Macaca fascicularis: one gene and its partners. The protein of the gene in region 3 interacts with the protein of the main gene of each other region in a pairwise test. Links are inferred from orthologs where the notes say so. Each region holds a gene or a part of one and is shown on either strand. Other genes may lie near its edges. The genes, in order: CARD9, PRKAB2, TASOR2, ERH, NEK6, LDOC1 and KLHL40.

Region 1 (3,981 bases), on a different chromosome or scaffold from region 3:
GCTCAGGAGCATGTGGTCAGGCCAGTTGGGATGTGGGGGGAGGCCATAGGAGTCCCCAGGCCCCACCTTCCAGGCACGGAGTGGGCGGAGCTCAGCCCACCCAGCGTGGCTTGGCCCCCAGGAGCTGCGTCGCCCTGCCTGCCCTCCTACCCGGAGGCGTCGGGCCTCGCCCTGGCGGAGGTCCTTGCGCAGGGAGAAGATGGTGTTGGCCTGCTCCTGGTGGTCCCGCAGTGCCTGCCGCCAGTCCTCTTCCAGTACCTGGATGTAGGGGCTGCTCCTGTCCAGCTTCCCCTCCTGAAGGGGGCAAAAGGCAATGGCCTGGCTGGGAAGGCCCCGGCTGTCCTGCCCGGGCTGCACCCGCCCTGCCTGCGGCCCCACCTGGACGGAGGCCTCCAGCTCCTGCACCCGGGCCTGGAGCAGGGCCTTCTGCTGCTGCAGCTCCCACAGCAGCTCCTGGCTGGGCCTCTGCTCCATGGCGTGCCTCAGCTTCAGCGTGTGCTTGCGCTCCACCTTGCAGTCGTCCTCGGCCTTCATGAGGCTGTGCTTGAGCCGGTCAATCTGCGGAAGGTCCGGTGAGCCCGGCTGTCCCCTCCAGGTGGTGACAACGGACCCACGGGGCCACCCCCGACCGCCCCAGCCTGCAGACCCCACCAGGCCAGGCAAGGGGGGCCTGGTTCCCCGGGGGCAGTGGGCGCACCTCCAGCTGCAGGTCACGGTTCCGCATGAGCGCGGCACCCTTCTCCTCGCTCTGGCGTGCCAGGCGCATGGCCAGGTCGTAGTTCTCCTCCTTGCAGCGCTTGAGCTCACGGCTGCCGGCCTCGCACTCCTCCTTGAGCCTCTGCACCCGCTCCTGGTGCTTGCGCAGCAGGCTGTCCTTCACCCGCAGCTCCTTGATGAAGTCATCCTTGGAGCTCAGCAGCGCGGTCAGGTCCTGCACCTTCTTCTGCAGCTTCATGACCTCGGTCATCAGCAGCTGAGTCAGGCCTGACTCCCCGGACGCGTCTGTGGGCCGCGCCAGCGTTAGACGGTGCCTGTGTTCCCCGGTGGCCCAGCTCTATCACGCCCTGCGCTGTGGCAGGAGCTCAGGGCTCCTAGGGATGGGGCCTGGGCAGAGGACCCAGCACCACTGCCCGCCCCCACCACCGCCTTCCCCGTCACTCACCGATGATCATGGAGAAGACACGGGCCGGCTCCTTGCCCGTGACCTTCTTGTACAGCTGTGGGTAATAGAGTTCCAGGCTCTCGAGGAAGGCCACGTAGCCCTTGTGGCCGGTCCGCTGCAGGATGTCCAAGAGCACGCCTGCGGGCCAGAGGGGCCTAACTGGGGGCGGGGCACAGGCGAGGCAGAGGGCTGGGGTGGGTGGGCCCGGGGGCAGGGACAGATGGAGGCTGGGATGTAGATGAGGTGTGCTGTGGTTTGGGTCGTGGATGAGGCACCCTGTGGGTCTTGGTACTAGGCTGGGGACAAAGTGCTGTCCACCCATCCCTTGGCTGTCTCAGGAGCCCCCGTTGTGGTGGGAGTCCCACTGCCCCTCTTGGCAGCACCGAGCTGGCAGGAGAGGCTGGGGGATAGGGTGGCCATGTGCCAGGGTTGAGGTTGGGCCTCACTGGGACGCCAGGGGCAAAGCCAGGCGGGGCTCTCCTGGGGTCGAGGGTCAGGGTGGCAGAGCGTGCAGCCACCTCCAAGCGGGCTCCTTGGTTGGGTTTGGGGCCTGGGGCCTGCGGGGCAGCACTGACCCACTTTCCGTTTGCGGATGACCAAGTTGGGGTCACTGAGCACCTGCTCCTCATCGTCGGGGTTCAGGACCTTGCACTGCCGCAGGTAGGGCGTGATGCGCGAGGGGTCGATGACCGACGTGAGCATCACCCGGAAGCCCTCCAGGACGCTCCAGCACTCATCGTCGTTCTCGTAGTCCGACATGGCCTCGCAGGCAGGCTGGGGGGTGTGGGGCAGCCGCTGAGAGTGACGCCGGCTCCTGCCCCCACCCAGGCCCGGCTCCCGCTCCTTCTCAGACGCTGGGCCTGGGCTCTCGTCAGGGCTGTCGAGGGGGTCAGCCCAGGGGCATCCAGGAGAGGTACCCGGCTCCATGTCCCATCCCCATGCTGGATCCCCCAGGGAGGCGGCAGAGACAGTGACCCGCTCCCCGCCAGACCAGCCGAGGGCCCCTCCACAGCCTTTCCCAGCCCCTGCTCCTGCCCCTTGGCCATCCGTGTCACCCAGATATGCAGCGGGGGAGACACAGATGGGGTCTGAGAGAGGAACGGCCTCCACGGCATGACTCGCCTCTGGCCTCCGCCTCCTGGACACTCCCACCACGCCCTGGAGCCTACAGGGGCAGCCACCTCCACGGGTGGGCAGCTGTGGGCACCTGCCTGGCACTACGGCCAGCCCAAGCTGGGTGAGAGCAGGTTGGCCAATGACCCTCCCACTAGGGCAGCAGCTGGGGGAGCCGGTTCTGGCGGAACTTCCCCATTCCCCTGACCGACGCCTGCTCACATCCCGCGCTGTGCCCTCCCTCCTCCATGGCCGGCTGTTGATGATGCAAGAGTGGCCACCCAGCCCTGCCCCAGCTGCCAGGGTCGCTGCACCGGCCGGGAAGAGCTGCCCACAGGAGCGTGCCTCTGTCACTCCCCGCCGGCCCCGCAAGCTGGGAGGGGCTGTCGGTGTTGCCCTTGGCTGGCCAGGAGTGCTGCTGTGCTGTTTTCTCCAGGTTCTTAGGTGACGGGCACCCGTCAATCTCTGGACTCTTCTCCTGCCCCCGATGAGGCCCGACCCCCATCCCACTGGCTGAAACAAGAGAACTACCCATGTTGGGACCAGCCACTGCTGTCCCTTTCTGCCAGCGCGGTGGAAGCCTCAGCCGCTGAAAGCCACTCCCTCTGGGACTGGGGCAAGGCTGGGAACAGCCACATGGTCCTGCCTCCCACGCAGGTCCCCGGTCCTCAGCCTCCAGCCCCACTGGGAAATGCTGGTTTCCTGCCTAAAGGAGCTGGGTCACTACTCCTGGAGACACTTGGTCTTTTGAAGTGTTTGGTCTTGGTCTTTTGAAGAATTTCTCAACTTCCCACTGTACTTTGTCACCCCATTCAGGACAGTTTTGACAGACAAGGGGCTGAATAGAAACACCGGCCACACAGCGGACAGTCCTGGGAACACTGGGCCCCTTTCCTGCCTCCCCAGCCTGAAATGCAGGGTCCCATCTGCCACCGTAATGCCACTGAAATGAACATGTCTCCGCCCAGTGGCCATGAAAGGGATGGGGCAGCGCGGCGGAGGCTGCCTGGCTGCCTGTGGGAAGCCTCATGCTGCTCTGCGGGGATCAGCGCCAGGATTCTGAACGAAGCCGGCGCCGACCTTCTTGGTCACTTTTCAGAAAAGTACCAGACCCACCCACCTGAGGGTCTTCCAAGGAGCCACCTGCACGGCAGACGCACCAGGAGCCTGGGACGTGGAGCCTCGGGGAGATGCTGCCTGGGGCTGCAGGGAGGGAGGAGCGTGCCGGACGCCTGTGCACTTCCTGATGGCTTAACTCCACAGTCCCGCCAGTCCTCCCACAGGGGGACAGTCCCTGGTGGCCTGCCTTCTGATTCGTGCAGCCCAGGAGGCCCCGAGAGGCAGACGGAAGTGGAAGTCCTCTGCCCTCCACGGGAAAACTGCTCTCAGCCCTCCCAGCCTGGCCGGGGGCCAGGGGTCCTGAGAATGCCCCAGAGGCCCAGCCCGGGCACCTGGCAAGTAGAAGAGACAGCAGAGACCCCCAGGAGGCTGGACGAGGCCAGACCGCACCCAGCCGCTTTGACCTGGTCATAGGTTTCTGGAGGCTTCTTCAGGAGGGCATGCTCTGCCCTGTGCGGACACCCTTGCCCTCGCCGGCATCTCAGGACAGCGGGGCAGGGCATGTGCAGGGGGGCACACAGCCACACAGCATGCCCAGCACACGCCTTGGTCATGAAAGGGCTGCAGCCCACCTTATGGAGCCCAGG
Region 2 (3,500 bases), on a different chromosome or scaffold from region 3:
GGCTGAAACAGTGAATACAAAAAATTATTGAATCTTTCAAATCTCTCTCTCCCATCCAACCTTCCTTTTTTACTAAAATTTACACATGATTGTACTCAGCACCTCCACATTTTATCAAGAGAGAAATCCTCCAGTGTAGAGGGGCAGTTGCCCATCAGTCTTGACAGAAATGACAGCTAAAATGAGACTGCTAAGTCAATGGTTACCCTTGGAGATCAAGGCCTTACCTCTGATGGATCATGAACCCACTGTCCATCCACAAAGAACTTGTATTGGTGCTCTCCCTCAGGGAGGTCCAGGATGGCAACAAAGTCATTATGGCTACAGAAGAAAAAAGAAAGGCAGACAGGCCAAGTTTCTTTTAGAAGACTGAATGTAAAAAACAAATGGCAATCATAGTATCATATGAATAACTTCCCAGATTCCTAAGCCTTGTATCCCTGGTGTAAAAAACAACATATAAACCCATTCTCCTTTTCTGTATCATCTTGGACATGTATTTACCAGCTCCTCCCAACAACGTTAGTTCTTAACCAATATCTGGAAAAGAATAATAAAAACATTAATCCCCTCAAATGGTTCACCTAGTATAACTATTTTGCTTCAGTAGAACAAGTTCCTCAGCAGTGCAAATGAGATAGGTAGGTTCAGGATACAGAAGTGCCTCAAGGTACTTTGTTTTGGTGAACCTTTTCTGGAAAATGAACTACCATACAAAGGCTCATTCTGACAACCAGTTAAATCATTCATTATTGCTTTGGAAGCAACGAATAACATGACTACCTAGAACTTCAAAATATGTTTTGCTTTAGTGCGGAAGTCAGAGCAACAAGACTCAGCCAGTTACAGAAGACTTCCCACAAGCAGAGACAGGACTTGTATGACACAGTCCTAAAGAATGTAGTCACAAAGCTATTATGAATCCCTCTGAGGCAATGAAATTCTAAGGGATAAAAGACCTCTGACTCACTATGAGGTTAAAAAAAATCCCACAGATATACTAAGTGGCCACAGAGATATGTTCTAGAGAGAGTCCTTAGCAGGTGGAGAAAAGTAGTCCAGCTGGGTCTCTCTTCTGAGAAAAGAAATCAGGTCTCTATTCCTGGACCCTTAGATTCAACCAAGATACTTGTCACCTCTTAATCAGTGGAATCTTGGTGCTCCAATTGTTGAAGGACCCAGAGATGAAGACCTCCTTGCCTCCTTCAGACCAGCGGATAACAGTGGGCCGGGCCTGCTGTGTGGGCTTTACGGAGTCCTCCAAATCCTGCTGCCATGATACAAACTCTTTGTCCCCAGGGAGCTGTAAGAAGGAGTAGGTCATCCCTAGAATAAACTGTGACCCAAGAATTCTAAAAAGGTCACTCTCCTTCCTAGAGTAGAGAAGGGTGCTAGGCTTTGGCTAAGGATATAAACCCCAAAATTAGCAACTAAATCAGAGTTTGAACAAATTATAGAAAAAGAACTCATCTAGGACCAAAAATGGTCAAATGGCCTATGCTCAAGCACTGCCTAAATCACAGCTTAACTTTTGAGTCTACCTATATCACTCACCCTTTCACAGCCTTAGACTCTCCCTTTAAAAAAAAAAAGAAAAAAAACTAACTCCCTACCACTAGTTTAACTCATAGGCAGGCAATTATGATATGCTTCTGAGTCTTTCTTATTTTTTATTTTTTTTATTTTTTATTTTTTGAGACAGAGTCTTGCTCTGTCACCCAGGCTGGAGTGCAGTGGCGTGATCTCAGCTCACTGCAAGCTCCACCTCCCGGGTTCACGCCATTCTCAGGCCTCAGCCTCCCGAGTAGCTGGGACTACAGGCACCCGCCACCACGCCTGGCTAATTTTTTTGTATTTTTTAGTAGAGACGGGGTTTCACCGTGTTAGCCAGGATGGTCTCGATCTCCTGACCTCGTGACCAGCCCACCTTGGCCTCCCTAAGTGCTGAGATTACAGGTGTGAGCCACCGTGCCCAGCCTGTTACTGAGTCTTTTTTTTTTTTTGAGACGGAGTCTCGCTGTGTCTCCCAGGCTGGAGTGCAGTGGCGTGATCTCGGCTCACTGCAAGCTCCGCCTCCCGGGTTCACGCCATTCTCCCGCCTCAGCCTCCCAAGTAGCTGGAACTACAGGCGCCCGCCACCTCGCCCGGCTAGTTTTTTGTATTTTTAGTAGAGACGGGGTTTCACCATGTTAGCCAGGATAGTCTCGATCTCCTGACCTCCTGATCCACCCGCCTCGGCCTCCCAAAGTGCTGGGATTACAGGCTTGAGCCACTGCGCCCGGCCGAGTCTTTTTTAAGAGAGAGAAAAAAAATGAAAACAAAGTATGGTTCTGTAAAAAATAATTAAGTCAGCCATATACTTTTATAGGCAAATATGAATAGTTCTCAATTACCAGTTGTAATGGAAGTTAGAGATATCAAAATTCTAGTTTATAAGTAATTCATAAACTCTATTTCAGCTAACAAGTTACAAAAAGAAGAAACATTAAAAATTCAAAAACCAGATCACTGATTTCTTAAAACTTGAGAAGTGGCTATGAAATCTTACTTACTCCCCTATCCCAGGTTTACACTAATTATTTCAGGAGTAGGAATAAAAATTCTAGAACCTCAAGGAGCAAGAGATCAAAAAAACAATTTCCTTTGTCAAAAGTAGCTCTCTTATTAAATGAGGTTTGTGGGATTGTAAAAACAGTAACTCCAGTTTCTTTTCATTACTATCCTTTGGACCAAGAGTTGGCAGCCAGCCAGTGAGCTAGATGCTTTTATCAAGTTTTATTTGAAAATAGCTCTGCCCGTTTGTTTACCTATTATTTTATTTACTGATTGACTGAGAAAGGACCTTGCTCTATCACCCAGGCTGGAATGCAGTGAGTGGTGTGATCATAGCTCACTGCAGCCTTGAACTCCTGGGCTCAAGCCATCTTCCCACCTCAGTTTCCAGAGAAGCTGAGACTAGAGGTATGAACCAAAATACCTGCCTTGCTTACCTATATTGCCTATAGTTGCTTACATGCTAGAGTGGCAGAATTGTGTAGCTATAGCAGAGACTGTATGGTCTACAAAGTCTAAACTGTTTACTATCTGGCCCTTTACAGAAAGATTGCTGACCCCTGTTTTAGACTGGTTTAAGTGACTTTGGTGAAGAAGACTGTATAGTATTAAGCCTAAGTATTACTAAATAGAATAATGTGGGGTTTTTCTTTTTCTTTTTCTTTTTTTTAAAGGACTAGCTTATTCATATGGGCTTTCTTTTCAAAATGGTTGACATAGTTTCCCCTCCATACATTCTCTTGATATTCCTCAAAACTACAGTATAAGACATCAGCAGCAGGATAATCCAAAGTAAATAGAGAAAGAGAATTGAAAGGACTTTCACATAAGGAATTGACTTCAGAGAAAACTACATATTATCAGAACGATGCACCCTTGCCTAACTGGCTGCGTTAGAATCAAGAATTTGACATATGCCTAAGAATAACCCTCAGATTCTGATATGA
Region 3 (2,831 bases):
CTAGGTCCAACCTGAAAGGTGCATATTTCAGGCAGATAGGTGTTGGGCAGCTTATACCTGCTCACTTTCCTTTTCCTTAGTAATCTGGAAGTAATTCACTGTACTGAATAGTTAATGGTTCCCTTAATAGATTCCTGTCCTTGGAAAAATGAAAGGAAATGATTGCGGTTCTATTAGTAACTGAAAAACTGTCAACAATTAAAACTCTAAAACCTACTCAGGAGAAAATAAAGCTCTTTTGTTTAGGAATAATAAAAACCGACTTAATGACTTCTGAGAGAAGCTTCCCTGTAAAAGCCAGGTGAAATTGCCATTCTTTAACCTGTTACTCAGTGTACTTGACTTTGGGAGGGAAAGAACCCAGAAACAGAACAGGCCAGGCCCAAAGGACAGAAGTGGAGGTTTCCTGTGGAAGCTTACTGTTCTGCTAAGTGGCCTAAAAATTGCTAGAGCACTCCAGATGAGTCAATTTCTGCTATAAAAATCATTGCAGAAAGAGATGATTTTTAGTTCTCTTTATTTAAAAAAAGGAAACAAATTAGTTACAAAAAAGCCTTTGCTCCAAATAGATACCATGTATCTTACAAACGTTTTTTGCGTGGTTTTGAGTTTTTACTGTAGAAATTTTCAATATCATAAATAAATGATTCTTTCTTTCTCAGAAAGCTGATTTTTGTAGTGTAGTATTTACAGATACCATAAGTGAAAAATGATAGTTTATAAATTTGTACCATTTAGGAAAAAATGTTTTAAGTTTATGTAGTGTTGTTTGTATAACAGCAAATAAAACCATTTAAGATTATAGTTTTTACAAGGATGGTAAAACCTTTAAAACAGAGCATAATGTGCATCATGGGCCTTTCTGATATTAGCATGCAAAAACAAAGCTATTTGTTAAAATAGACTTATTTTTGCTCCAACTAAGTAAACATGTTGTAAAATTATTTTTAATATTAAGCTCAATAGCTTAGAAGGCATCTTGTTTAAAATGAAAATAATTTAAAACAGTATCTAGCACTGCAACCCAAAGATAACGGACAACTACAATGCCACTGTGACATATTTCAGCAAAATACAGAAAATGAAAACTTCCCAGGTTGTAGAACATTGATTTTTCAAATATAAGACTGTTCACATGTGTATTCACATGTTCACAAGTTTTCCAAAGGGAAAATAATAATTTTTTATTGGCATCATCCATATCCAGGCAGGCTGTAGTTGAGTCACCTGAAGAAACACAAAATTGATAAGAACTTCTTAAAATAATATGAACAAGTATATTTCAAAAGTGAGATGCTCTAATGGGGAAAACTCCTATGCACTCTAAGGTTACATTATGTTCCGTACTGGCAATCCAAGTTAACAGCAAGTGAAAATGCACATCAGATAAAATGGGTAATTTTAGTAGATGGTTTCTTCATTTAGGAATTCCTATTTATGCCAAATAGCAATTCCACCCCTAAACACTTTAAATTTATAGCATGAAATATGTAAACAAGTTTCCCTTAGACACAAATGTCAGTATTTGCCATCAACAGCTCCAACTCACATGGGAAAGTTACATTAAAAAGTGTTCTTACCAATAGCTAGTCCTAAATGGAGCTGCTACTTTTTCTATGTTTTCTATAAAGTTATTTACATCTGTAACAAGGATTCCACTATTTTCAAAGACTTCTCTGGGGATAGTAGGCTTGTCTGTAAAAACAACAACAACAAAACAAAACACAAAACTTTTGGTTAATTAATGCACTTTTACATTGCAGGACCTGGTTTTTTTATTTAAAAAAATCTGTGGAACTTCCTCGTGTGGCAGGTAGGGGGAGAAAAGGTGTTGGGTTCCAAGCTAAGAAAAGATTTGAAGCTTTGGGAATAGATGCCTCCATCAGGGGTGGTGGGGAAAATACTGAAGAAAATCTCTGAAAAATGATAATTATGGTTCTTTACGTAAATTTTTCTGAACACTTTTTTTTTTTTTTTTTTTTTAGATAGGGTCTTGTTCTGCCGCCCAGGCTAGAGTACAGTGGTGTGATGATGGCTCACTGTAGCCTGTAGCCTTGACCTCCCAGGCTCGAGCAATCCTTCTGCCTTAACCCCCTGAGTAGCTGGGGCCATAGGCACACATCACCACACCTCCCAATTTTTGTAGAGATGAGGTCTCGCTAAGTTGCCCAAGCTGGCCTCAAATTCCTGGGCTCAGTGATCCACCTGCCTCGGCCTCCCAAAGTGCTGGCATTACAGGTGTGAGCCATTGTGCCTGGCTGCCCCACAAATTTTTTAAGAGCAACCTCCACCTCTGGGGTTCAAGCCATTCTCCTGCCTCAGCCTCCCAAGCACCTGGGACTACTGGCATGAACCACCACACCCGGCTAATTTTTATATTTTTAGTAGAGATGGGGTTTCACCATGTTGGCTAGGCTGGTCTCTTACTCCTGACCTCAAGTGATCCACCTGCCTCCCAAAGTGCTGGGATTACAGGTGTGAGCCACTGCGCCCAGCCCCAGTATTTATTTAAAAAATAATACAGGTATAACTATTTACACTGTATTGAGTATTGTAAGTAATCTAGAGCTGATTAACATATATAGGAGGATTGTGGAGTTAACCTGTAAATACTACATTTTATATAAGGGCTTCAGCATCAGCAGATTTGGGTGATTCTGGTATCCATGGGATGCCAAGCCATTTAAATACCTGATACTATTCGTCAGGTATCTAAATGGTCAGGTATCTAAATGGCTCAACTTGGACATTCCTAGAGCTGACCAATTTTGGCATTAACTGAGTAAAATGGGCCTGTGAATTACCTGTTAGGAAGACAGCAAACCTGGCTT
Region 4 (4,282 bases), on a different chromosome or scaffold from region 3:
ACTGCCTACAAGTTATCAGTATAAGCTACCTTGTCTTCCTTTTTCTTTTGTATCTTTTCTTCCCAACTAAATTATAAACCTGCTTAGGTTTTCTGTCTCCAGTGGTCACTTTCCATCTTTAATGCTCTTAAGTCATTAATAAAAACTCAGATGGGCTGATGAAAGGAAACAAAAGGGGAAATAGTGTAATAATCACAAGCATGGGTTCAATTTTTTTTGCCAACCTTAGCATAAGAGCAAAGTCACATTTTATCCAGGGGTTAGACTTAACATTAAAGGAGTAGATAAATTAGCAATATAAACCATCATAAGAATTACCCTTAAAAATCCATTGAACTATTCACCTAGTAGATGACTTGCCTTACTGGGCTTTCTCATACCAAAACCAGGTATTAGAATCACACAGAATGTTAGGTTATCACACTATGAGAAATGTGAAATATGCCCGAAAAATAGCAGACAGACGTGTCTTCCACTTCATGCTCACTGGGGAACATGTTTTTGTTAGTGTTCAGTCACTAACAAGTCAATCTCAGTGTTTCTCAACCTGGGCTCTATTACATTTTGAGCTGGCTGATTCTTTGTGACAAATGTCCCTTAGGGAGCAAAAAATCTCATCCAGCTGAGAATTCACTGGTCTGTTGAAAATATGACCCATCCAATTTTTTGCTACCCGTGTAAGGTTGATTAATTAAATGCAAGTATGATGCAACTCCACTGTAAACCCAGTCCCAAATCAAACTATTCACTTTTTTCCTTCTCTTCTGCTGTACTAGTATTTTTCAGCCAAAAACCAGAAAACAAAAATTTCCTAACAACAGGAACCCTAACTGTTTTGGAATGAAAATAATTTTTTTTTTTTTTTTTTTGAGACAGAGTTCTTGTTGCCCAGGCTGGAGTGCAATGGCGCGATCTCAGCTCACCACAACCTCTGCTTCCCGGGTTCAAGAGAATCTTCTGCTTCAGCCTCCCAATACCCGGGATTACAGGCATATGCCATCACGCTCGCTAATTTTGTCTTTTTAGTAGAGACAGGGTTTCTCCATGTTGGTCAGGCTGGTCTCGAACTCCTGACCTCAGGTGATCTGCCCACCTCGGCCTCCCAAAGTGCTGGGATTACAGGCGTGAGCCACTGCGCCCGGCCAAAATGATCAGAATTTTTAACCATCAAATTGGAGCTGAAATAGCTGAATAAACAATGGAAAAATAGTACATTTAACATGACACGCAAAACAAAGGGTTATACTCTTCTCTCCCCATCAATAATTAAATCACTTTGACTAAAAGTTTGAGAGGGTGTGAGATAAAAACGGAACTTGGTGACAAGAGACGAAGGATTAACTCTCACCTATAACCTGAACAGTCAAAGCCTTTGTTAAATCGATTTAAAAGCCACAGAAAGCATTAGATTATTTGTTACACAGAAGTCTTTGTAAGCTAGCTACTCAAAAAGTTTCAATGAGTCATTTGTTAAGAAAAAATAATTTTGTAGAAACCACGTGCATTCTTGCAACAGAGCTTGCCCCTATACACTAGCTATCTCAACTGCTACTATAATTGTATTCCAATTCTAATGCAAATTAAAGGACTAATTTGAAAGCGTAACAATGGAATAAGCTATACAGCATGTTGCTTTTTATATCTAGTCTTAAAATGAACACTGGGCAAAGTTTACTATTTTCAATACTTACTGCCCAAAAACAGGGATTAAAAACCACTAAGAACGTAACATGATACATTTTAAAAAATGTGGTCATTTTAAAATGGCATTGCTTTCCTGCTCAAATTCTTTACAGATTATACCACCTCTCAAGCCAGTTTTGGTCACTTTCTTCGAATTGGAGCTTACTGATCATCCTGGTTGGATTCTAATAGAGCTGGTCTCTGAGCTGAGCCTACTTTTCAGTCTCCAGCCCCAAGAGGATATAAATACAGATAAGAACAGGATCGAGGGCTGAGGGACGCGCCACATGAACTACCTAGAGGTCTCAGAAATAGGAAAAAAAAAAAAAAAAAAAAAAAAAAGGCAGAGCACAGGAAAACGAAAGCTGAGAAAACACTACAAAGTAAATACGACCTCTCCTGGCCCACATGCTGGATATAGTAAGCTGGATCTGTCAGCTTCCAGAAAAGGTTACACAACCCTGGCCCATTGTTCCTACAGCAGGCTAGAGCATTTGGAGGGAAAAAGCACCATTCCCGGCCGGGCCCGGTGGCTCACGCCTGTAATCCCAGCACTTTGGGAGGCCGAGGCGGGTAGACTGCTTGAGGTCAGGAGTTCGAGACCAGCCTGGCCAACATGATGAAACTCCATCTCTACTAAAATACAAAAATTAGCCGGGCGAGGTGGTGGGCGCCTGTAATCCCAGCTTGGGAAGCTGAGGCAGGAGAATTGCTTGAACCCAGGAAGCGGAGGTTGCAGTGAGCCGAGATCACACCACTGTACTCCAGCCTGGGCGATACAGTGAGACTGTCTCAAAAAACAAACCAGAAAAACCACCGTTCCTATGCCTCCCTCTACCGAGTAACAATCGGGAGAGAGCTCATCCTCAGGTCCAAGGCACGCCTGACCCGAGCGAGCAGGCGGGCGCGCAACCGCAGGGCGGACTGGCGCTCCGGGGCCTAGAGTCAGGCCTGGCGTCTCTGCGGCGGGAAGAAGGATCCATCCACCAACTGGAGTGGCGGGGAGCATCACGCCGCGCTGCATGGGGCTCGTGGGGAGAGGAAAATGTATAGGGCTGGGGTCGCTCTGGAGGCCGGGGACTCGGACTCGGGTAGCCGCGGGGGCCTTTCTCACCATCGCGCCAAACTCTCTTCGCTGCAGCTGCTGCCGACACCGCCGCCGTTACACGAGCTTAGCCACAACGCCGCTAACAGCCAATCCCCGCGAGAGGAGCCGCCGGAAGTCGTCGAAAATTCAACGCAAAAGAGCCTTTTGGATCATAGAGGCACAGTCACTTCCGGCAGCTAGAGCAGATACTGACTCTGTTTCAGCCATCTTCGATAAAGGCAAAAAGGTAAGTAAGGGAAAGTTTCCGAACTTTAGGAAGAATTATTTTGTTTCAAGACGCTGTCTTCCGTACTTTCGTTATTAAACATACGGCTCAAGTGAGCACCGGTGTAGACAGTGACATCAGACATCTTTAATTAGCCCTACTCAAAAATGGCGGCAACGTAAGTATCGCGGGCCAGAGGTCGGTTGTAACCCGGAAGTGCCCTTGTAAAGGAGGGGGCGGTTAGACAATCCGGAAGTGGATGGAATGAAGAGGTGCCACTTGGCGGCCATGGCAGCTGTAGTATCGGCGACTCCGGGTCAAGGCCCGGCCGAGTGCAGTACCATGGGCAGCACCGGGTATAGGGCAGAGACAGCTTTGTGTCAACTTTGCTGCTGAACCCCTAGGACCCATCGTTAGAGACCTGCAGGACTCCTTTCCGCATCCCAGGCTCAGAGGACAGTTTGCTGGGACTGGTGGGCTGGTTTCCTGCCGTGGGGGGCGGATCACCTTCGGGGCCGCCTCTTGGAGACAGGGGCGCCTAGGGAACGAACAGGTTCGCTTGAGTCACCCGCCGCCGCGTAAGACGTTGTGCCACTCTCATTCCGACAATCGAAGAAATCGATCATTCGCACATTTTCCCCATTGACTTTTCCCATCTCTGTTAACCCACGAGAATCTAATGACTGGCATCTCAGAACCCAGAGCCTGGGACCCTAGATTGCTGTAAGCTTTCTCTGGTGCTAATATCAGCAACAAGGGTCTGTTTCCGGGTACGTTCAAGAGGAAGGTGCCTCGTGAACACATCTGCTGGTGAGGAGGCCTAAAGAACTGGAAAGCCCACTCTCTTGGAACCACCACACCTGTTTAAAGAACCTAAGCACCTTTTAAAGCCACTGGAAATTTGTTGTCTAGTGGTGGTGGGTGAATAAAGAAGGGCAGAATGGATGATTTCATCTCCATTAGCCTACTGTCTTTGGCTATGTTGGTGGGATGTTACGTGGCTGGAATCATTCCCTTGGCTGTTAATTTCTCAGAGGTAAGAAATTCTCAACTTTCTGTCAGCTGTCGGGATGGCTGTGAGGTAGTAGTTTTAGTTGCAAAGGGAAGCTGCTTCCCTAGTTAACTCTCAAAGCTGAAGGCCTCATTAAGAAAGACTATCTTTTTAAAAAGATACGTAACACTTAATAATAGAAACAAACCTCATATTCAGCAGTGGAATTCTTAACTTAGGGTGGATAGATTTTTCCACGGAAGATCCTGGAGTATTCCATAAGCAATTCCCTAGA
Region 5 (3,927 bases), on a different chromosome or scaffold from region 3:
AGTGGCTGAGATCGTGCCCCTCCAGAGGGTCCAGGTGGGCAGATTGTTCTCATGGTGTGGAAAGCGGGTGGCATGCACAAAGTAGGTTCATTGCATGCTGGGGCTGGCAGTGTTGGGGAGGCACGGTAGGGGCTCAGAGAGCTGCAAGCAGAATATTGGCACAAAGTGTGTCTGGAATCAGAAAAACCTTCAGTGGTAAGCACTAGGCAGGCGACACGGACTTGATTCTCCCTTGGAGAGAACATTCCAGGGTGAATCTGCTCAGGCCAGCTCCTATGTCACAGCTGCCAGGAGCAGGCCGGGGAGAACAATGGAATTACCTCATGAGCGCAGCACCTTGGCTGATGAGTATCAGAATTATTTGGGGAGCTTAAAGAAATCCTGGGATTACTGAATGGGGCCTGGGAAGTTGTGTTTTTCGAGGTTCCTCAAGCAATTGTGCTGCAGACACTGTTTTAAGTTTTGGACCTACTGGTTTAAAAGCAAAATCTCCAAAGCCATTTTAAAATCTTCATGAATTATAAGTAACTCCCAGTCACCCTGTTTTATTTCGACCATGGAGAAAAAGTACAGAGGAAAGGCTGCCTGTGGAGAGACTGTCGGGCAGACGGTGTCACAGCAGATCCGAGTCCACGCGCGGAAGCAGCGGCCGTCTGGCCCTGGGAGTTTCCTCCAGGAAAAGCCCGGTCAGCGAATGCCTGCAGGCAGCAGGTGTCAGGAATCACCTGCCCGATGCCAGCGCTGCTCTCGTCTGGAGGGCCAGACTGTCATCAAGTCAGTGACGACAGCTCAGACCACTGGAAGGTTAACTTTACGTACAAAAACAAAATTCAAATGATTTCCTTCAGAGCTGGAGTTTTCTTAGGTTCACATTTATAAATTAGTCTTCACAGTTAATCCTGTTTGGGAACAAGAAATAAGGAACACCTTTCTGGTTTCCTACACGATACAGGTGTACATTAATTCTTGGCTTCCGTGGCCCATGGACTTCAGTTTGTGAAGGGTGAGTGGCTACCATTTTTGGATCATCTACTTTGTACTAGCTAACTTGCATATTTTATTTCAGATTCTGTCAGCAATCCTGAAGGTAGATAGGTACTATTAATCTCATTGTACAGATGAGGAAACTAAGGCTCAGAACGGCTAAGAAACTTGCCCAAGCCCAAAGTCACGCTAGGAAGTTGCAGAACCAGAATTTGTAAAGGATAGCCCTTAGCTTTTTTACATCCCATCCTTTCTTCCCATGGAGGAAAATGCTTAACACTGATCATGAAATGAACCGCCAGCATTCAAGGAGGTGATGAAATGCCTGGTACACAGCAGGTGTCCAGGAGAAGATGGCCCGGCCTGGTTGCCAGGAAGATGCCCCTGCTTCCCGATGCCATTTGCCTGTGATGCTCTGGCAGGTGCAGGGCTCTCATCGTCACTCACCAAGTTATAAAACATAGATAAAAATATTAGCAGAATCTCCACTCCATGGAAAAAAATGACTTCCACTTTATCTCTTTACAACAGAGTAAATTAAGCACACAGCTTGATTGAAAAGATACTAAGAACTAAACTGAACTCGGTACTAACCATTTTCAAAGGCTCACTACACAAATCACACGGTCTCCTGTGAGTCTCCTGTTAGCATAAGCCTTGACAGGTCACTGGAGGAATTACCCTAAAGATTCACATTACAATCCAGATACAGGGGGCTGCCGTGGCTCGCTGAACCACCTGCCCTTGTTAACCCAGCTAAGATTGTCCCCAACAGTATAAAGAAAGGACTTTTGAATTTGGCTGTCAGTGACGTGTGGCCAGCGCCCCTCCCTCAGCTGCTCTGCCTTCAGCATCTGCTGTAAGGCTGGGCAGCCTTTTGGGGAACCTGCTGAACCCTGTGGTCTTAGCTGTTCTAGGCTACCAGGTGGCCACTCGAAGAGAAGACGACTCAAGTAAGGCAAATGGTGCTGGCTTTGATAAGGCACGGTGCATCCACGCTCAGGTGCTGGACGTCCAGACGTGCATCTGCTTGGCCACCTGGTGCACGTAGCCGATGTCAGGTCTCTGGTCGGGGTCAGGGTAGATGCACATGCTGACCAGTTCTCGTAACTGCAGGGGAGAGAACGGTGTGTTATTCTCAAGAAAAGAAAGCAGCCTTGCTGAGGCTCCGCACTCTGCAGTCAGTCTGCATGAAGGCACTTCCTCCTCAGAGCAACCAGTCAGTCCTGTTTTCCCCGTTAGAGCCGAAGAACGGTGTTTGGCTGGGGCAAGTAAGGGGTGCGCAGCCGCGTGGCTCCCAAGGGCTAGCCAGTACCCTTCCTAGGCCTGTCTAGTCCCAAAGACTGTGCTTTGAGACTCTAAGAATGGTTAACCTCCAAATAATTTTGAACTTGTAGCTGTCCACACCACTGGGCAAACTGTGTGTCTCTCTCTGCTGGGAAAAGTGTGTGTGTATCTGCTGTCAGTCACGCAGATGCCCAAACCAGAGGACAAAACTCAAGGCAAGGGCTTATTGATCATAATAAACGCATTAACATGCAGCAGGGCTGCAGTCTGCCCACCTCCCGGCCCCTTTATTGTGCTCATGAAAGACGGAGCTTTTAATTATACAGACACTGAAGGCTGCTCCCGCCCCGAGGTGGGGGAGGGGTGCCTTGCACCTCTGATCGCCTCCATTCTTCTGATAGCCGGAGTGCCAATTATTTTAATGGTAATTAAAATAATGACCTTAAAATGCCTACATCTTACCCTGCATCACGGGCTCATAGCCATTGGTTTTCATTTAAATACCTGCTGCTGGAGGGGTGGCCAGCCCCGCAGGCCGCAGCAGCAGGAAGCCGGGTGGTTTTGAACCAGAGGGGGCTCTGGTGGTCTCAGTGGCCACACTCAGGGAGTCTGGGGAGGGCCCACAGGACGTTCTGGAGGCCCGGGGGCTACTGCTGCGCAGGCTCCTTAGGCTGAGGGGCGGGGCCTGGGCTTCCTGTAGACTAGGGCTCCTCTCAGCTGATGGGGCATTTTCTCCCTGGGCCGCAGAGCCTTAGGGTATCCCTCCCACCTGTGTGCATGCCTTCCAACCGAGAAGCCCAGGGGACACGGGGCCTGCAGCCTGCTAGGCCACTCCTGGCGTCTGAGGTTGCCTATGGATGGACGGCTGTTTTCTGAACCTTACAATATTCGGGGGAGGTACCTGTGGTTGGCCTCTAACAGGTTAAAATGCCCAAGAAAACCAGATTCAGGTGAAGTGTCTGTGACTCAAACTAATTTATGATGTAAACGCACAGTTGGCAATAAGTGCATGTTTGAAATTTTCAGAATTCAAGAGAAACAAAAATAATAAAGTCTTATTTTCATTTCTAAGCGGTGATATAACTTTAAAAGTAGGGCCCAGAGAGAGCCAGTGCTCCGGGGAGTGAGGGCTCGTGGCCGGGAAAGGGCTGACTTGGGATGGGCGCTTCGGTGCTCATTTCAGCCTCATAACTGAAGCAGAGAGGGCAGCTCCCATTTTTAGACTGACGGCCAAAGCAGAGTGGTCATCAGCTCCAGCTGCACGGCTTGGTACACAAGTCCGCATTCAGAAGAGGAGAAAGGAAAAAGCAAATGGCAACTTTGTAAAGAGATGCAGCTTGTTTTTCCTCCCACTGGGAGCAGAAACACTTCCTCCAAAGGTGCAGGTCAGAACTTGGGAGCCGGGAGAGGAAGGGCACTGCGCAGCGCCCGACACTCGAACTCCTCTAGCCCTGGAGTCTGCAACGCCAGCGAGCACAGGCTCAGCACAGGCGCCCCTCGAGGACCCTCCTGCCCGGACACAGGGGCGGAGCACTCAGGACCTGCCCTGTGCAGCTTGGCCGGGGCAAGGGCGCTCCTTCCAGAGCCTCACCCCAGCTAACTGATGGACCACCAAAGAGACACGCCATCAAGAAGCAGGATGGCTCCGTGGCTGGG
Region 6 (4,122 bases), on a different chromosome or scaffold from region 3:
CGCTTGGTAACCAAGGCTGGAGGAGTGCGCTGGCGCTATCTCGGCTCACTGCCACCTCCGCCTCCCGGGTTCAAGCGATTCTCCTGCCTTAGCCTCCTGAGTAGCTGGAACTACAGGCACCTGCCACCACTCCCCGCTAATATTTTGTATTTTTAGTAGAGACAGGGTTTCACCCTGTTAGCCAGGATGATCTCGATCTCCTGACTCGTGATCCGCCCTCCTTGGCCACCCAAAGTGCTAGGATTACAGGCGTGAGCCACCGCGCCCGGCCCTAATTTTTGTTTTAAAGGATTCCTGTGGCTACTCTATGGAGAATATACTATAGGAAGAAAAGAGTGAAAGCTAAGTGATTAGTTGCAGCAGTCTGGGTGAGAAAGGCTGGGGATCAGGGTGGCAGTGGTAGAAATGACAAGTCATGACTGAATTGGCAATATATTTGAAAGCAGAGCCAACAATTCCTGTCGGCTCTAGGATCAGGGATCCGTTTAAAGTAGAAAAACAAAATTATTTAAAAACACAAACATCTTAACAGTTCATTTTTAAGTACAGAATAAAACCCAGTGGCCAAAGGCACTAACAGCAGGACAAGAAATAGAGAATCAAAGATATGTGGGATGCCTGCAATTGATTATTGGATGCTCATTTTGCAAAACTTCTTTATATCCTGCTACTTAGGTTTGTTTTTTTTTGTTTGTTTGTTTTAAGGGAGTATGCCGTATTATTCCCCTACTAAAGAAGTCACTGTTTAAATACTGCCTTTTTCATGAAAGGCAGGAACCCCTGAAGGTCTTCATGATCCTAAAAGGAAGTGTGAGTCCCACAGTGCAGCCAGCAGTGTCAATACTTCTCTGAGTGAGATTTAAACAAGAAAGAAAATGTGTTAATAAAACATCACGCCAAGAGAATCTAGTGGCCACAGACCCACGAAGGAACAACTGAGTTGTGAGAGTTGCCTAGGTAGAAGGGTGGCTAATCCTTTCAGTTTGAACAAATTTGCCTTCTCTGAGACCAAACTCAGCGCTCGCCAGGTCCTCTGCTAACGCAGGCCCCACAACCAGGAGCTAGGGGAGCCTACCCCAGCCTTTAACTGCCCGCCTAGAGACCTACCACAAGCCGGTGGTTCAGCGACCCAGTGCATCCTTTTCCTGGCCACGCCCTCTTTGTCTAAACCCTTCCCATCCCGGCCACGCCCCCACGCAGCCGCGGCCCCCAGTCTGGCCACGCCCCTCCCGCGCCGCGCCGGCGCACCATCCGTCCGAATGGCCTCGTGGGCGGAGCTTGCGTAGCCTCCCGGACCCCGGCGCGCACCGCCCCCCGCCCCCAGCCCCTGGCCATCGAGCGTCTCCGTGGACACGCACTTCCTGCGAGGCCTCCGTGCGCACCTTGGCCGAGCCGAACCGAGCCGAGCCCTGTCCTTCCAGGCTGTTCGCAATGGTGGATGAGCTGGTGCTGCTGCTGCACGCGCTCCTGATGCGGCACCGCGCCCTGACCATCGAGAACAGCCAGCTCATGGAACAGCTGCGGCTGCTGGTGTGCGAGAGGGCCAGCCTGCTGCGCCAGGTACGTCCGCCGAGCTGCCCGGTGCCCTTCCCCGAAACGTTTAATGGCGAGAGCTCCCGGCTCCCCGAGTTTATCGTGCAGACAGCGTCTTACATGCTCGTGAACGAGAACCGATTCTGCAACGACGCCATGAAGGTGGCATTCCTAATCAGTCTCCTCACCGGGGAAGCCGAGGAGTGGGTGGTGCCCTACATCGAGATGGATAGCCCCATCCTAGGTGATTACCGAGCCTTCCTCGATGAGATGAAACAGTGCTTTGGCTGGGATGACGACGAAGACGACGACGACGAGGACGAAGAGGATAATTACTAGGCCCTCGGGCCTCGGGGGGAGGGCCCTGCACGCCGTCACCCCCTCCCCGCAGCCCTCACCCCGCCAGGAGCCACTGCTCTCCCCCTTGCCCTCCGGTCCCCTTCCCTACCCGCGCCCGTCTGCTCTTTCTTCATTTCTCCGTAGTGCTTGTCTTTGTTCCAGGAATAGTGCTCCAGTTACCTGCTGCTGGGGTTGGGGCTGGAGCCTCACTCACTCGGAAGTGCTTGGAAGTGTCATCTACCCTGGCCATCCCGGGGATCCCTCCCCTGCTAATCTGAACTGTGTCCTGAACCCCAGCTATTGGCCAGGCCCCTGTTACAAACTGCGCAGACCACCCATAGCCCTGCTGCTGCCACCTGCCCTGCTGCCAGGCTTACATCTGCCCAGAGAACTATGCTGCCACTTCACATCCACTCACCACATCCCACCTACAGACTACCGCCTTTCGAGATCAGGACCAACCTGGAAAATGCCAGAGTTGGCTCTGCCTCTTCGGACATTGATTTGGACAGCTCACCAACCCCTGAAGAGGCCAATCATTCAGCCTGGTTAGTTTTCTACCTACTCCGAGTGTCCTCCCCTGCCATACCAGATTGCTGCAGGGGCGCGGTGTGCCTGACAGCCAAATTGTTGATATTTCTTTTTTCCTATGCACTGGTTTTACACAGCTGTCATTTTTCTTTCAAAATTGCAGCAGTCCCACAGATGTATGCATTTGGACAAATAGTACTAAAAACAAAACAAACAAGCACTCAGCCCAGCTCCTCAATACTACCTGGAAAAAGCATTGGCATTATTTTCAATAAATATCAAGCACTAAAAAACGAAATGACTGTCTTTTAATAGTTAAGTGCTATCACTGACCTCTAGAACTGTCACTGTGACTACCGTTATTCCCATGGAAATCAGGGAATACAACCAATCCTAGGAATCCCTGCTGTCAACTCCAGGCTGCTGGGGACAGCTACCTCAGGGCTTTGTCAGGGTTCTGATGCTTCCTTCACCAACGCATTTCTTAAAGCCCTGGCAAAGGGTGTGTTCTCTGGGTCCTCCAGGGTGGCATGGGTAAGGGTTGGCTGAGCAGATGGCAAAGAGGGCAGTATTAATAATTAGACCATAACAACAGGCATAAACCAGGACATATATATGTATTGCTCCTAATTCTCTGAGCTTTTGGATTCCTTAATATTGTGCCAGGGAAGTTCTGCCCCTTAATCCTTATTGCCTATATGCAGCTGTTGAGTTCAGGCTCCAGAGAGCCAACATAGTACATTGTCACTTTCAAACTCCAAATAGCCAACATGTCACTTACAGGTGCTCTAGCTAACATTAAGTCCCAGATCCTGGGCAAGTGCATCCATAAAGATATACCCTGATCTTAACAAACATTTCATCCTCCTTGGGCAGACATCCTTAGAATTTCCACTCATAGATGTGTCCCAGATTCCTCCCTATGGAAATTAGCAAGATGCTTGGTTATCTCTTAAATCAGACTTTGTACTGCTATCTGGGGGCTATGCTGAGATCTCTGGGCCTGGAGGGTTCAGAGCAGTGAAGGGGGTGGCTGCTGAGAAGAAACTGCATACCTGTGTGAGGCCATTGCCCCAGGTTAAGTCATTGAAATGTTTAATGCAGAGCAGCTTGGTTGGGGATTTGACAGGACTACCTCTTAGAAAGGTTTAGGAGGATGTGAGGGGTTCAGAGTTCTCATTTATATCTGTCCAGATGTCCTCCCTCATTGTACCATGTCTGGAGCCAACTTCACTTTATAACCTTTAATTAATTTAGATAACACATTTCCTTACTGTTTAAGGCCTTTTGAGGCAAGATATTTCATTTGTACTGGTAAACCTCAGTGTTGATTAAATGAGATATGGGGCTTCATATTAATCACCTGATAGGTGTGGATTATATGAGATCATACCCATGCAGCATTTAGAACTTTCCCTGCTACATGGTGAGCACTCAGTAAACCATGGGCTGTTACTCCTGGGCCTGGGGACAGAATTCTCAGGAAGCAAGTCTCTGGCTCTGAGCGTGGCTTTAGTAGGAAAATGTCAGCGTAAAGAGGAGCAGAGCAGGTTCAGCGATAATGGAAATGAGAGCATGATAAGACCCCATTTACTTTTTGAAGTCTTATATGAAGCAAGAAACAAAGCTGTTTACGTGGTGAACAGGCAAAGTTCAGGGTAGGAATTATATCTCACACCTAGGATAGCTGTTTCTGGAGGGTGGGGACAGGGGTGAGTA
Region 7 (3,954 bases), on a different chromosome or scaffold from region 3:
CCCCCAGGGTGCTCAGCCCCACCCCAGCCACGCTCACAGCCTGTCGTAGCACATGACCGAGTCCAGGCAGCGCTCGCCGTCCTTAATCTCTCTGCCACCGACCACGTAGATGGAGTTGAGAGCCTCTCCCAGGCCAAAGAGGCAGCGGGGTGAGGGCAGTGGTGGCATCCCCAGCCACTCTGAGTCCAGGTGGTCAAACTGCAGGCCAGGTGTCCAGTCAGCAACTGCCCCCTACTCCCCCAGCCCCAGCCCAGCACCACTCAGTCCCGCTGCCCCAGGTCGCAGAGGAGGTCGGGAACCCAGGTAGGGCCAATGCAGCCGGGAGGCACCCTGAGAGACAGTGCCCCTCCTGCCATCAGGCTGAGAGCAGATGAGTGTCCCCCACGCCCAGGCAGGCTCCCGGCAACCACCATTATAGCAGGCGGTAGGGCACCACAGCACAGAAATGATGGGGAGCTCTGCAAGGAGGTCCAGCTATGGCCTTGCTTTCCCAGGCTGAACGGCTCCCAACTGAGGCCTGCCTGCCCCCTGCTCTCCACCCCATCCCACTGTTCAGGAAACTTCCAAATACAGTCCTGCCTTTCGCCCTGTAAAAGCTACAGTCCATGGCCTTGTTCACCTCCACAGCCTTGTAATAAAGATATGAATACTAGGGGCTCATCTTTTTGGAAAGTTTTCTGAGGGCTGAGCACTGTGCTGATGAGCACTTTATAAGCATCATTTAACTTTCCAATGACCTTATCATGCAGGAAGAACAGTATCCCCACTTACAAACAGAGGCCTAGAGAGAATAAGCAATGTGTCCACACTGCTGAGCTAGTAGCTGGTGAAGCTGCCCTCATCCCCAGTGCAACTGTAAGGCCTGTGAGCTTAACCCTGGCACCAAGTGCCTGTCACCTCTCTCGCTGGTCAGGCCTCCCTGAGCGTGCTGCCCACCAGGCTAAGCCCCAGTTCTATCCCTTGCTTATTGTTCCTTGGCTGGAAACATTACCATCTTCCCCTTCACGTCTCCAAATCCCACCCCACTGGCAAGGCTCAAACTTATATGGCCAGTCTCCAGGAAACTGTCTCTGCCCTTTGAGATCTCACAGTCACACCCCAACTCAGACCTGGCACTCCACTCTGCTGATCCCTTCTGGGCCTCAGTTTCCTCATCTGTACAATGGGAGGACCAGACAGGATTGTTCCTTTGTCTGGGACACTGCTGCGAGCTCCAGGCCTGGCCTTCACCAAGAGGCCCTGCCCAGGATCCTTACACAGACCTTGCTCCTCCTCACTGTGCCCCACCCCAACCTCTGTGCAGGGCCAGGGCCTCCAACATACGCCAACTTGGGGCTACCTCACCCCTGAAATTGAGATACCAGAGTTATGCTGCTTTTTGGCAGTTGCCTATTGACTGTCTTCAACCTTCAAGCAGGTGGCTATCAGTCAACCGCCCCAGTCTACATCTCACCCTAGACCCAGTGGCATTTCCTTGTGTAGACACAAGCCCCTCCTGGGCCCCAAGACTGCCCCCAGTGCCCAGAGCCCAGCATTAGCTGGCAGCTCCCAAGGCTGGTCAGGCACCTGCAGGAAGTATGCGCTCATGGGGTCCTCTTTGTTGTCTTCGTTGTAGAAGAGGCCTCCAGCCACAAAGACCTGGTTCTCCTTGGTAACCAGGCTGACGTGGTTCTTGGGGACCTGGTTGGAGAGGGAGGCACAGTAGCACTCGTTGGCTGCTGGATCGTAGGCCACAGCGCCCTCCTCACTGATCATAAAGATGAGGTCCTGCAGGAACATGCCGAAGCGCAGGGTGTCATTGAGGATCCCAGGAAGGATACGTTCGGCCTCCTCATCCTCCTCTGCTTTGGCTTCGCCTGTGCCCTTATCAGCCTCCTTGACCCCGGCTGCGTCTTTGCCCTTCTTTTTCTTCCGCAGCGTGGTGATGCGGCCCTCGTGTGCATCCTTCACCATCTGCACCTTGCGCAGCAACTCGGGCTGGGCACGCACGAGAGGGTGGCGCTCCACGCGGCTCTCTAGAAAGGCGCGCGGCAGCAAGCGGCAGCGCACGCTCTCGAAGACGGTGGGCAGCGCGCGCTGGCGCTCAGCCTGCGCCTCGGCGTCGCCGCTGCCAGCCCACCGCATCACGGCCTCGAACACCGCCTCCTCCTTCTCCACGTTAAGGCCGTCACTAGAGATGATGGCGATGAGCTCATCGGCCGAGAGTCCGAGGAAGTCAGCGTCGCGCGCCACCAGCGAGAAGTGAGCGCAGATGAAGTCGCGGGCAGCCACGGCGAGACGCGCGCAGTCGAGCAGGAGGCCAAGACGGAAGACGGCCAGGCAGTTGGAGAGGCACAGGCGCTTCTGCAGGAAGGACACGCAGATGGTGAAGATGGAAGGGATCTGGAAGCGGTGCGCCGCGGCGAACAAATCCTGCACGCTCGCCTCGTCCAGCGCGATCTCTGACGTGTACAGGTAGTGCAGCACCTGGGCCACCACGTCTGGGGACACCTCCTCCAGGTGCAGCTCGCCCGCGCGCTCCGGCTCGGCTAGGAAGCGCGCCCGGAAGTAGGGGCTGCAGGCGGCCAGCACCAGGCGATGGCACGGGAACTCGCGCTCGCCCGCCCGCACCACACAGTCGAGGAACTTGCCATGGTCCAGCATGTCCTTGAGACCGTCTTGCAGGAGCGTCTGCTGGTACAACCGCTGCTCCTCCGCCTGCTCCAAGCCCAGCGCCATGATGGGTGGCCTAGGGTGTGGTGGCGGTGCCAAGGGGGCTCCTCTCTGTACCCCTGCTTTCCTGCTGCGGCTTGCTTAGACTGCGCAGCTGTCTTCTAGGGGCTATATATAGAGGTGGCCGGGTCCCTGTAAGGCGAGCCGCCTGGCCTCCTGCACATGACGCACAGGGGACAGCTGGGCAGAGGCCCCCTCCCGGAGAAGCCTTGACTCAGCCCCAGGGGCTTATGGGACGGAGGTAGGGTGTCTGGGCCCTTCTGAAAGATGAGGGCCTGGCTGCCTCATTTCTAAATGGAGCACGGAGAGGCCTTGACTCTGGATTTTTTGGTCCGAAGATGCCCCTAGGAGAGTTGATGGCCTAAGTTCTGACCCTCAGTCCAGAGACGGGGAAGCATTGGAGCCCCTCTTCCAGGGTCTCCCTTCCTTCATGCTTTCTGGGAACATCTGTCCTGGTGCCTCCATCTTCCTCCTCGGAATATGTCTCATTCCAGCCATCCCCGGATACAGGGTCCTTGGGTTTTCTGGTCAGAACTTGGACATGGTGTTCACTTTTTGGCAGCCCTGTTGCCCTGCCTTTATTTTAAGAGGCAAGGTCTCACTATATTGCCCAGGCTGGTCTTGAACTCCTGGGCTCAAGCCATCCTTCTGCCTCAGCCTCCCTAGTAGCTGAGATTACATACATAAGACACCCCCCACCCCGCATTGCCTCACCTTTAAAATGGGAAGAGCTTTTCCTCTTTCTGCCCCTCCTCCTTGCAAGAAAGCAAGAAAGTACCTTAGGTAAACAAGGTTGCCACTTTCCTATGAGGCCTGGGACAGGACATGTCGCTCTGTTAAGCCTCAGTTTCCCTTCCTACACAATGAGGAGGTGGCAAAGTTAGATACTAAGGGCCTCAGTTCAGCTCTGCTGGAGGTTCAGAAGCACCAAGGTACTGTGTCCTGGAAGTACACTATTAGAGGGTTTTAACACTTCTAAGGTGTCAGATGTGCTAGAAAATTAATTTCTTAGGATTCTACTATTCTAGGTTTTTAAACCCCCAGGGTTTTAACATTGTAGGGGAGTGACATTCTGAATTCTAGTGTTCAAAAAGTAACACTACAGGTTTAATATTTCAGGACTTTAGCTGTCTATACTCACTATTCTTGGTGCATATTAGGCCAGACCTGAGCCTGCCTGGCCACGGGGCCCCTGCACCTTGTCTATGGTCTGAGGGACCAGGGTTGAAGCCCAGGACAGTC

Evidence for each region.
Region 1: the proteins of TASOR2 (region 3) and CARD9 interact in binary tests that used the Homo sapiens proteins (3 or more experiments, as listed by UniProt). The two-hybrid records come from large-scale screens. The link is inferred for Macaca fascicularis from reciprocal best matches to the Homo sapiens genes TASOR2 and CARD9.
Region 2: the proteins of TASOR2 (region 3) and PRKAB2 interact in binary tests that used the Homo sapiens proteins (3 or more experiments, as listed by UniProt). The link is inferred for Macaca fascicularis from reciprocal best matches to the Homo sapiens genes TASOR2 and PRKAB2.
Region 4: the proteins of TASOR2 (region 3) and ERH interact in binary tests that used the Homo sapiens proteins (3 or more experiments, as listed by UniProt). The two-hybrid records come from large-scale screens. The link is inferred for Macaca fascicularis from reciprocal best matches to the Homo sapiens genes TASOR2 and ERH.
Region 5: the proteins of TASOR2 (region 3) and NEK6 interact in binary tests that used the Homo sapiens proteins (3 or more experiments, as listed by UniProt). The link is inferred for Macaca fascicularis from reciprocal best matches to the Homo sapiens genes TASOR2 and NEK6.
Region 6: the proteins of TASOR2 (region 3) and LDOC1 interact in binary tests that used the Homo sapiens proteins (3 or more experiments, as listed by UniProt). The two-hybrid records come from large-scale screens. The link is inferred for Macaca fascicularis from reciprocal best matches to the Homo sapiens genes TASOR2 and LDOC1.
Region 7: the proteins of TASOR2 (region 3) and KLHL40 interact in binary tests that used the Homo sapiens proteins (3 or more experiments, as listed by UniProt). The two-hybrid records come from large-scale screens. The link is inferred for Macaca fascicularis from reciprocal best matches to the Homo sapiens genes TASOR2 and KLHL40.

Annotation. Positions count from the first base shown.
Region 1 is NC_088389.1:2,998,057-3,002,037, reverse strand, and holds the start of CARD9 (caspase recruitment domain-containing protein 9), read right to left. Parts: upstream 2,801-3,981; 5' UTR 2,090-2,800; coding exon 1,738-2,089; intron 1,301-1,737; coding exon 1,163-1,300; intron 1,003-1,162; coding exon 698-1,002; intron 559-697; coding exon 379-558; intron 295-378; coding exon 151-294; intron 1-150. UniProt on the Homo sapiens protein: Adapter protein that plays a key role in innate immune response against fungi by forming signaling complexes downstream of C-type lectin receptors.
Region 2 is NC_088375.1:113,066,662-113,070,161, reverse strand, and holds part of PRKAB2 (5'-AMP-activated protein kinase subunit beta-2), read right to left. Parts: intron 1,304-3,500; coding exon 1,137-1,303; intron 322-1,136; coding exon 228-321; intron 3-227; coding exon 1-2. UniProt on the Homo sapiens protein: Non-catalytic subunit of AMP-activated protein kinase (AMPK), an energy sensor protein kinase that plays a key role in regulating cellular energy metabolism.
Region 3 is NC_088383.1:6,689,006-6,691,836, reverse strand, and holds the end of TASOR2 (protein TASOR 2), read right to left. Parts: coding exon 2,805-2,831; intron 1,696-2,804; coding exon 1,581-1,695; coding exon of another isoform or gene 1,577-1,580; intron 1,228-1,576; coding exon 1,224-1,227; 3' UTR 501-1,223; downstream 1-500.
Region 4 is NC_088381.1:137,312,893-137,317,174, forward strand, and holds the start of ERH (enhancer of rudimentary homolog), read right to left. Parts: upstream 2,801-4,282; coding exon 2,798-2,800; coding exon of another isoform or gene 2,706-2,797; exon of another isoform or gene 2,574-2,705; intron 1-2,573. Other genes in the region: SLC39A9 (zinc transporter ZIP9), read left to right, coding at 2,706-3,017. UniProt on the Homo sapiens protein: May have a role in the cell cycle.
Region 5 is NC_088389.1:19,725,348-19,729,274, forward strand, and holds the end of NEK6 (serine/threonine-protein kinase Nek6), read right to left. Parts: intron 2,095-3,927; coding exon 1,984-2,094; 3' UTR 501-1,983; downstream 1-500. UniProt on the Homo sapiens protein: Protein kinase which plays an important role in mitotic cell cycle progression. Required for chromosome segregation at metaphase-anaphase transition, robust mitotic spindle formation and cytokinesis.
Region 6 is NC_088395.1:147,495,054-147,499,175, forward strand, and holds the start of LDOC1 (protein LDOC1), read left to right. Parts: upstream 1-1,322; 5' UTR 1,323-1,431; coding exon 1,432-1,872; 3' UTR 1,873-4,122. UniProt on the Homo sapiens protein: May have an important role in the development and/or progression of some cancers.
Region 7 is NC_088376.1:105,537,718-105,541,671, reverse strand, and holds the start of KLHL40 (kelch-like protein 40), read right to left. Parts: upstream 2,801-3,954; 5' UTR 2,719-2,800; coding exon 1,567-2,718; intron 199-1,566; coding exon 38-198; intron 1-37. UniProt on the Homo sapiens protein: Substrate-specific adapter of a BCR (BTB-CUL3-RBX1) E3 ubiquitin ligase complex that acts as a key regulator of skeletal muscle development.